Linked DNA regions of Schizosaccharomyces pombe. The gene in region 2 interacts genetically with the main gene of each other region. Each region holds a gene or a part of one and is shown on either strand. Other genes may lie near its edges.

The links.
Region 1: mutations in SPOM_SPAC3H1.08C (region 2) and irs4 together harm fitness more than expected from each alone (negative genetic interaction), as found in Schizosaccharomyces pombe (one large-scale study listed by BioGRID).

The regions. Positions count from the first base shown.
Region 1 is NC_003424.3:912,916-920,382, reverse strand, and holds irs4 (ENTH/VHS domain protein), read right to left. Parts: upstream 5,422-7,467; 5' UTR 5,292-5,421; coding exon 1,152-5,291; 3' UTR 608-1,151; downstream 1-607. Other genes in the region: protein mcp1, read right to left, coding at 1-410; SPOM_SPAC1687.08 (uncharacterized protein), read right to left, coding at 5,765-6,055; SPOM_SPAC1687.07 (uncharacterized protein), read right to left, coding at 6,352-6,726.
Region 2 is NC_003424.3:1,944,707-1,948,125, forward strand, and holds SPOM_SPAC3H1.08C (uncharacterized protein), read right to left. Parts: upstream 1,545-3,419; 5' UTR 1,396-1,544; coding exon 1,187-1,395; exon of another isoform or gene 1,147-1,186; coding exon 720-1,146; 3' UTR 687-719; downstream 1-686. Other genes in the region: arginase Aru1, read left to right, coding at 1-496; vacuolar amino acid transmembrane transporter Avt3, read right to left, coding at 2,113-2,305, 2,354-3,048, 3,089-3,275, 3,340-3,419.

The DNA.
Region 1 (7,467 bases), 1.0 Mb from region 2:
TCACCGTTCACAAAATTCACCTCATCAACTGATTCACCAAGGATTACAGATAACCTTTCAATTTCTTTGTACATATTTTTTGCTTCATTTTTCTTCGTGTTATAGATTGCTCGAATACCATTATGGTAAGTTACCAGGCATTCATATTGGTCAATTAGAGTGCGCGGTATTTCGATTTCTTCGATGATGCCCAGTCTTTTTCTTAAAAGAGATATCTCAGAAGATAATTCATTGCATTTTGACTCAATATTTATAATTTTGATCTCCAATTTTCTTTGGTGTCCTGACAAAGCGTCCAAGATGATATTGTTAAAACTGATCTTTGTAAACGAATACCCAAGTTTTTCGGAAAGTGTATAAATATTATTGTAATAATTGTTAAGCCTGTCTCCAATTTTAGCTAACTCCATAATATCTTATGATTTTAACATTAAAAACAGAAGTTCGGCATCATGGCCTTGGAGAACTTGGTTTATTTACCTCTAAACTTAAGGATCGAAAGTGAGTCACAACACATTATGGATTGGGACAAGTTCATACTAGCAAGATTGTTTAATAAAGAAGTCATGTCTTTTTAAAAAAAAAATCTACATCGAACAGTATTTTGGCTAGTTTTAATTGCTAAACCTTTGTGTTGGCTTATTATAGTTAAAAAATGCTAATTAAAGGATATAAATAATACTTGAAAAATTTTATAACAAACAAGCAAATGGTATCCAAGGAATTCGTTAAGCGTAAATCTAACCTATGCTTCAGTAATTAATCAAGTAATAAAAAGGGTAATGCATAAAAAAATGTAAAAATGAATAATAAAAGTTTTGCAAAATGAAAAGTTATGATGTAAAAATAAAGTCCTTCTTTTCGCTTAAAAAGGTCGCTTCGGTTGTGAAATATCTGCAAATTGAGTAAAACAATCGACAGCTTAAATAGATCAGAAAGTACTATCATTAACGATTAACAAAAGCAAACTAACAACTGATTGAAAACGTGGTTCGCAAAAATAGCGAAAGCTTTACGAAAACAGGTTCACAACGGAGTGTTTCAAATGAAAAGACCTTAATGAAGTAATACCGAAATGCCATTTTTTAATAAATGTTGATAAGCTTAAAGATATTTCCCGTTAAAAAAAAGAGGACCCGATGTTGATTTCTCTAGTCAGTCATCGCGCCCTCGTTCACCTTTGCTGTTGTATTAAAGTCGAAAAACTTTTTCAAATGTTTTCTCTTTTTCTTCTTTTTTTTGAAGAAAGGTTTTTTATTATCTGTCTTTTTCTGCAGTTTTTCTAATCGCCAAAGCATATCCCCCATACGCTTGCTGCTTAGCCATACAGAGTCTGGTACCTTCAACGGTAACTTGCGGCCTTTCAAATATTGATCGATCAGAAACATACCGACAATAAATTCATCACGCCCCAAGACACCTGTGTGATGTCTATCAACGAGATCGTAAATTTTGGCTAAAACACTCGTTGGAGCACCACTACGAGACCAGAGTTCGCGGACAACAATATTGCAAATCAAATCATTCGGTTTGGAATATTCTGATTTGCTCAGTAAATAACCTTTATTAGCAGCCCACAACCCTTCATAGAGCTTTCTACGATTTTCATCAATAAAGAACTGCGGGAGATCAACAGTTTCGGATTTACGCAAATTGGTTCCACTCTTGTATTTTCCGTCATCACGATGGTAAAAATGTTTATGCTTTTTCTGAGGAACTCGCAATGTATGAGGTGAAGGTTTGGCAATTGATTGCTTCGTTTTTAAAGGAGGTGGGTTTTCATGAACAGCTGGAAAGATTTTGTCTGCTTTCATAGCTGCGCGTACTGCTGACGATGAGCCTGAAACATCACTTGAAGAGGCAAGCAGTTGTGGAGATGGAGAATACTCAGAACCCAATACATCACGCAACTTAAATTTCAATACTTTTGTGGGAACAGCTGAAAAGCTTAAAACCGAACTTTGCGAATCTTTGAGAGAGTTCTCGTCATCGGACATATCACTATCAGTATACTGACCTGAGCCATCAAGTATTCCATCACTGTAATCGTATTTTGAACCGTTAACTTCATCCATGCTGCTACGATTAGCACCATGTGGTACATCTAAAGGAGCGTTTGAAGATCCAAGGTCTTCTTTATCTGAAGGAGCATCATAAAAAACATCTCCTTCAACTTCAGATTCTCCTCGAATTTGACCAAGTGAAACTGAATGACGATGAGGAAGTGAAACTTTTGGCAGCACAGGAGCCAGGACTTGAGGGGTAGGTGCGTGAATGAGTTTATCCTTATTTGCAACTAGAGTGGCAGCACTCAAAGACGCATCATGGGCCTTGGACGAAGAATACGACGTTTCTTCTATGGAGGGTGTAAGTTTTTCGGAAGCAGCCGTAATGGCTGCAGCATGAGCAGCTATTTTCCTATGATGGATGTCAGAAAAAGAATTATGCGAAGGAATGTGCAATGATGACGACGACCATTCCGTTTTATTAGAAGGAATTCGTTTATGAGCAGACCCAAGCAAGTGATCAAGGGCCTGATCATTAGAAAAAGAAGGTGCTTTTTCTTTATTTTTCTGACCAGTTGCAACAATATGAGCGGCCATTGTAGGAATATCATCAGTTTCATTTATAGAGGAATGAATATGCTTTTGGTTAGCATTAGTTAATAACGATTTAATAGAACGGGTAGAAGATGCAGATGAATGGGACAATTTCTTCTTCATAGGCAACATATCCATAGAAGCAGCGGATTGGCTATCACTTAAGGAGGCTTCACGTCTTGAAAAGTCTTTCGCGGCAGCCAAAGCAGCTCCTTGTAAAGCAAAAGGGTATATGTCCGTTCCGCCGATATCGTTTTCAGAATATCCTGAAGGGGGCGTTTGACTTTCAACCTCGTCAGATTGAGGGCTTTCGTCTTCAGCATTATGCCCAAAATAATTCTCAAGGGTAAATGATTTATGTTTTCTCCTTGGTTTCCTGTGTAGATCTGTCTTAGCACAAGTAGAAGCGAGCCTTGCAGCCTTAGAAGTAATATCGAAAAGCACCGAATCAGAATGTTGTGGTGTGCTTAACGCAGAATCTGAAAGGTTTGATTTTGTCTTCATTAGCACAGTTCCAGTCGTATTAAATGCTGGCTGCGCGATTTCAGTATGTTGTTTGCTTTTCGAAGATATGGCATCAGCATGCCGACTAGCAGAAAGTGACGCCAAAGAGCGGTCATTCAAAACTTCCGGGGAATGTTGAACATTTGCAGTCTTCTCTTTAAGGGAGGTACCAGCTTCCTGAAAAGAAAGTTTACTAGAAGCTAAGGAAAGGCTTTTTTTAAGGTTCACTTCTGAAGTCTTTGCGGGTTCGGAAACAGGTACTTGAGCTATACTCGCTAACTGACTTGCTGATTTGGAAATTTCGAATGGGTTGGACGGCGTCATTACTGGAGTAGCAACGCTTCTATTATAAACGCGAGCACCAGCTTCTTTCACAGAAAGCTTACTAGAAGCCAAAGAGAGACTTCTACCAGGACTCAGATCCAAATCGATAGAAGAAGTAGCCTCCGAAAAACGGTCCTTGCTAGCTTGCTGGCTAGCAGAGATTGAAAAGTTAGAAGGAGGATGTGAATCACACATTTCAGAGATATTACTAGATGACTTTGAGGCCGACTCTGTTTGTTGAGACAATGCAGCCCGTTTGCTAGCAGATATTGGTAGTTCGGAAGATGATTGATGAAAATAAGGTAATTGTGTCTTATTCAAAATGGCAGCATTTAAAGCTTGGTGCTCAATAGCTTGCTTGATGGCACCGTTTTTCAGTTTTTCCATATTTGGGTTATAAAATGAGGTTGAAGAAACAGAGGGATCATTAATCATTAAGGACTGAGACTCGACAGCACATTTACTAGCATCATTTTTAAGTTTTTCTACCCCAAGATCTGATACTGATGGTTTTGGAATTGTAGCGTCAGAACTCTTCAACGACAGAGATTCAACAGTCTGTTTACCAGCATCAGTCTTCATTTTCTCTAACATTGGGTCTGAAATCGACGGCTCTAAAAGTTCAGGGCCACTATTCATTAGAGATTGAGATTCAATGGCCTGTTTACTAGCAGTGTTCTTTAATTTCTCAAAAGACGGGTCTGAAATTGAAGCTGTTAGTGGCGGTAAGGGATTGATTTTTGAGCTTTGGGCCATAATAGCCTGTTTGCTGGCGCCATTTCTCATCTTTTCGGACATAGGATTGGGAAGTGGAATTGCTGAAGATAACGGTTCCGCTGATTTAAATGGTTGGGACTCAATAGCTAGTTTGCTAGCTCCATTTTTTAACCTTTCCATAGCAGGATTCGGTATAATATTTGATGAAGGTAGTGGTTCCGAAGCTCTGAAAGGTGGAGATTCAATAGCCTGCTTACTAGCTCCATTTTTTAACTTTTCTGAAGTAAGGATTGGTGAAGATCTTGCTAATGAAAGTGATTCCATGTTTTTGAGAGATTGGGATTCGCTAGCTTGTTTACTGGCACCATTTTTCAGCTTTTCCAAATTCTTATCTGAGGGTTCAGGAGTAGGAGTGAAAAAATCAAACTCTCTTAAAGATTGTGCTTCAGCCGCTTGCTTGCTCGCACTGGTTTTCAATTTCTCTACGGCTGGATTCGAAAATGGAGATACAGAAGGGGAAGGACTGAAAGTCTGTAGTAAAGGAGAGTTGAAGGCCTGTTTACTAGCGGAAAAATGCATACCGGAAGAAGAAAGTGAATTGGATGAAAGAGGTTTGAATTTGTGGTAAGAAGTGGCAATTGCGGCATTCTTTAATGAAAATCGTCGACTTCGAGGATGATGCGGAAAAGATGTACGAGGTGTTGGAACGGTCAACGACCGTTTTCTAGTTGATGTACGTTCATAATAACCACTCTTTTTAGCCGCAATGGCAGCCGCGTTCGAAGCCGCCCCGCCTCTTCTTGAATCCTCGACAAAAATTTGCTTATTCTTTTTGGTGTGATACTTCGAGGATAAAGGACTAGTGGAACTTTGAGAATCATCTTGTTCAGGAAAATCCGCAAAACTCGCTTTGGCAGCAGCTAAGGGATCTAGTGGGTTGGCATCAACATATGGATCTACGGATTTATATATAGCGGAAGGTAAGCTCTTTCTGTGGTTCTGAAATAGGGGAAAGGATCCATTAGAATGCTGAAAAAATGATCTGCTTATGCTTGGAGAAACTGCACGGCGGCTGAGGTTTCTTTCAGAATGCAGTAATGGATGTCTTTTACTATTTCGTAAAGATACGGGATGAATCGCGTCCATCGCAAGGCCTTCTTGTTCTACATCAGGGAATATAATAAATAATGAATGAAGGAGGCGAAATGCTGTCTAAATCGATAAGACCCTCACAGATTGTTCAAAAAAAAGAAAGAGGTTGTGTGTTATGAATTGTAGAAAGAAGGTTACAAAACGACTGCACTGATGGAAGTAGCATACATGTGATTTTTCCTTGCGGGTTACATACCAGATGACGCATTGCTAAATGACTCTGAGTACTGCGCTAAACAATTACCTTAAAACTTTTCACCAGTTTTGTCACTCTTCCTTGCTGCCCCGTATATTGCTTACGCAGTTTCAAAAACAATGTTACCTCTCTTTTAATAAGCTTACTGACTCTTAAAGTATCAATAATAAACTAAACAATAAACGAAATTTCACTTTGATCATTATCAAACATGATAAAACAAAATATTTCTTCAAAATTTTACTCTTCAAGGAATTTGAAAAGCAAATAATTATAAGGCTAGCATCTTTTTGCAATTAACTATTAGCTGTTGATGATACACAAACATTACAACAGAGACAATCAATATTGCAAGGGTGAGCCCGTTTTTTACACGGTTAGCTAATTGAAGCATTACCGTATTGAAAATAGTAACAGCTAGTTCGAATACTAAAAAAATTTTTAGACCAGCCTTACTATCTCGAGAATTGCTGATATATTGCAGCAAATGATCACAAAAGTAACATATAGCAAATAGAACATGGAAAGTACAGCGGATCGTCAGAACATTGAAGATAAACATTTCATTAATTCTTAAGAATTATTGATAGCGTTAGCAGTAATTGAAGATTTGGAAGTCCATGAATCGTAAAAAGTTTGAGAAAGCTTATGACAATGTTATATTTCGTTTCCATAACTAACGAAATAAATCGGTATCCACATGTTTTCGTATCCATGAGTTAACATACCATTCTGGAAAAATAAATAAAAAATAAATTCCGGCCGCCGATGAAGATTTTGAGATATTTTCGGAGACACTAACTAAGATTTTTTAGGACTTTGCGTAATTTTCTGATTTCAGTTGTTGCTTAATGACATTTAAAGTTTTGTAACAGCTTTATTGTCAAGTGGCATGCCGGTAGAGTCAACGTTGTTGTCACTCATGACTTTACGGATATAGATGAGTCTTGCCTGATCAAATGAGCACTGAAGCTGTTTCATCAATCCACGAATTTGTGAAGTAGCGGCTTCGTCCAGGCCGGCCCGAGTGTCCTGAGCTAGAATATTTTGGGCGATATCAAATGAACTGGAGTTAAGCCCATTGTTGAAATCTGCTTCAAAAGAATTTTCAACAGGTGAATATCTGATACTTCGATAGCGAGATATCCAAAATCTTCTAGCAGCAAATGTAATGGCGATAATTATAGCCAAAACAACAGTGACATAAGAAACGATTATATGAAAACTTGCCATATTCGGCTATAAAGACAAATATTTAGATAAGTAAAACACTTGAAAATAATAATGTTAACGTATTCCGTTTAGAAGGAGAAGTCCAAACAGTCTAATTTCAAGTCGACCTGACTCGTTAATATGGATTTTCTTGATAATAGCGAATTTGATATGATAGTAAAAAAGGAAATTATTGTATGGTTAAAACAACATGCAGAGTTTCGTCGGGTTAATGACCACAAGTAGTAAAACAAAAAAAAAAACTTAAGGCTAGGGGTATGCGCTCAAAATCAAATACTGACCATAAACGATTACGCAAGTACTTGATTTTGCAAAATATAATGAAATTAAAGAGATTGAAAACCAATTGAACGACTAGTTGTGCTAATTATGAAGATTCTTTAGGTAGGTAGATGATGAGATAGGTCAGTAAGTGAGGCTTACCAAATCACTTTATTCAGTGCGCAGCAAAGACACAAAGTCAATACTTCTCAGTTATTTAAATGATTTCTAACTTAATAATTGTAATTTCGTATATACAGTAATTAAATTGCTCGATCCGAGATGGTTAACATAGCAAGAACATTCCATTCAAGATACGAAGCAGATGTAAATTAATGAAGCAATAAACGATTAACTAACCATCAATTATAAGTAACGTAAATTTCTTGATATGTAAAAACTCGCGAAACACGAATTTGCCTGATGATTCGATAAATCCACTTTCCTTTTTAATTCATAGACAGTATAAAGCAAAAAAAG
Region 2 (3,419 bases):
TGGTTGCCCCTTGTCATTTTCTTTAGGATACGCCGAGCCTCTCCCTGAAGAGTTTGCTTGGACCAAGAGAGTTATTGAAGAGCGTCGTCTGGCTTTTATTGGATTGCGTGATTTAGATCCTATGGAGCGCGCTTTTCTTCGTGAGCGTAACATAGCCGCTTATACCATGCACCACGTCGACAAATACGGAATTGGCCGTGTCGTTGAGATGGCGATGGAGCACATCAATCCTGGTAAGAGACGACCTGTCCATCTTTCCTTCGATGTTGACGCTTGCGATCCCATCGTTGCCCCAGCCACTGGTACCCGTGTTCCAGGCGGTTTGACTTTCCGTGAGGCAATGTACATCTGCGAAGCTGTAGCTGAATCCGGTACATTGGTTGCTGTTGATGTTATGGAGGTTAATCCACTACTTGGTAATGAAGAGGAGGCCAAGACTACGGTGGACTTGGCCCGCTCTATCGTTCGTACTAGTCTTGGTCAAACTTTACTTTAAAATTACAATTTATCAATATATAAAACGAATATTGATTTTCATGAGCTGACGGGACGAAGAGTGCATTCTTTTTATGTGGAATTAAGGGAAAAAATATAAATAACGTTACTATTGTTTAACCGTTTAAATAGAATTGACTTAGGTATTAACAAGTTTTTTGATCTGATTACTGAAGTTGAGTAAAAGCATATTATCACGTAAACATTTTTATTAAGGATAATCACTAAAAGTAAAACAAAATAATCAGTACAACGGAGGATACGACTCCAACGAAACCGGTGAACCATTGATTGGTTTGTATTTTCATGTCATTAATTTCTTTGTGTAAAATATCCACTTCATTGAGAATTTTCGTTTCATTTTCGTGAATATTTGTGTTTCTAGACGTTGCGGCATCTTTCATACGTCCTTTTTCAAGGTTTAAATTCAATCTGACTTCAGACAAAGCGGTTTTAACGTCTTCGCGGAGAGAACTCTTGGTTTTTTCAATTTCGTTAATAAGTTTATCAGAGCTTTTCCTAACTTTATCAAATTCATTTTCCTCAATCGTCTCCAAATACTTCCGAATTTGTAAAAATGTTCTTTTTTGCTGGAACGACACAGATTCCTGCTTAGCTTTAAATCCTATATTTTTCTCTAACTCTGTAAGCCTATAACGTTAGTTGGAAAGCTCTTAAACTTTTTACTTACGCCTCTCCAGTAATGGTCCTCATCAAATTAGTAATTGTTTCTGCATTTTTTACAGAATAACCAGCCTGCTCTAGTCTTCTGGAAGACTGTTTAAGCAATTCAGGGCTTGGTTCATAAGATGCAGAATATCTTTCGGATTGGATTCTATTAATAATCGTCCAAGGTCTATTTTGACTTAGAAATGGGAAAATTTGTTTCCGAATAATCATTTGTTCCTTTTTTATTTGTAAATTCTAAGGAACGATTCAATATTCATGGGCGATTTGAGAAAAGATACGTCAAAAAAAGTAAATTATGTTAAAGAAGCAGACAATTGCATTTGAAGAAAATCAATCTTTATACTACTACGTTCGGTGGTGATAATTTAGAGGTTTTGGTGTTTCTGATATGGTAAAATAAGGCGGACTAATGAATATTTTAGTCTCTAAAAATAAAAGAAATATATATGTATATTAAATAATAATTTTTTAAACGATTTAAATTGGGTTTTATTTCCATGATTATTCTTCACAAATTATGACTAAGGTAAACCAACTTGCTTTAAATTTTAGCGGGCCAGTCTTTAATATAGCATTTACACCAGCACCAAATGTACGCTAACAAATAAGATTGTGGATGCTGAAATTGCGTAAAAATAAAATGTACAATATTAAACAAACTTCTTTCTCAATGTTAAAAATACGATTTTCTTAATCCTAAGCCTCAAATAGTTTTCGGTATCTGTAAAATATTCGACGTATCTTATATAGTAATTAATAAATATTATTTAGTGTCCCACTGAAAAAGCGTTTGCAGTGTAAACCCGTTAATAATTAAGTCTAGAGGAAATATGTAAAATTTTGAAAAAAAAAATTCCAAAAGTAATATGAAATGCATAAGGATCAATGGAGACCACCTATAAATATAAAATCGTACGAGTGAAAATCCTAAAAAAATGTCATGTACGTAGTGAAAGCCATTGCGAAGGCACCAATAGTAAACATAAAAATATCAAGAGTACGTAAAATCCAATTATTTGCACAAGCCTTATAATGTAGCATCGGCGGATACATATAGATAAGCGGTATGCAACAGACGCTACCTACCATACTTACAAATAAATCAAGACGTGAAGATCCACTAAATTGTTAGCAAATGAAGAAATAAAAAAAAAAAGGAAAAACGTACGCCCAAGATATTAGGATAGCTAGAATAACAATTAAGACACGAAGATAATTCTTCCTCCATTTAATTTTTCTGTTTCTTTTACCGCTTCTAGTGAAAATTCCCTGTTCAATGATAGCAATTGCAGGAAACAATTGCAATGGGGTACTAAGCAAAATTGCAATAGCATACAAGAATTGGATAATAACGGTGAAAGTACTCTCTGGCATATTCAAAATAACCACCGTTTTGACCTTTGAACCAAAAGCAGCGTAAGACAGCAACCCAATAGAAATAAACAAGAGAGAGATCGCTGCCATCACACCTGTGAGGAGCTTAGGTAAATTCTTTGGTTTAGCCATCTGTTCTTGGATAGGCAATATCAAACAAATTCCTTCGTAAGTAAAAATGGCAACACCAATAAATAAACTAAAATCAGTTTTGTTAAACATTGCAACATCGGCTATTCCTTTAGTGGCTAGCGTAATCACGTCCCAGAAATACAAATATAATATCCCTAGCAAAATAAAAACATCAGCAATTAAAGCAGTAGCAGAAAGTTTTGATATCTTGCGAACGAGCGATAGAGGGACAAATACCAAAAACTGAATAAAAATGAAAACAGCTAAATGGTATTCTCGGTGAGTAGTGGATATAACTTTTACACATGCTTGTAATGTGCTAGCAACAAACGAAATATAAGCACTCGAAAATCCAATCTTAATGCATTTAGTAAAATATTTAAATTTAAAAACTTACCTGTGAAACCACGATAGAAGCAAGAATAGCAAATCGCATATGAGGACCATATAAAGTTCCCCCAATATCACCAAAACTTCCAGGTACCTTCATTCGAGTCTGAATGAGAAGTAAGAAGCAAATATGAGACAATACTCCCACAATAAGAAGGGTCGCACTTGAAAATACCAATCCACCTAATTTAAAGCTAGACATCGGTTAATATTCTAGGAAATAATAAAATAAAAAAACGTTAATTCCATAAAACTTACGCTTTGGGAAGAAAGAGTACACCGGTACCAACAAATGACTTTAAAAGTAGAAGTACAGCTTTTCCGTTTGAAGCATTTCC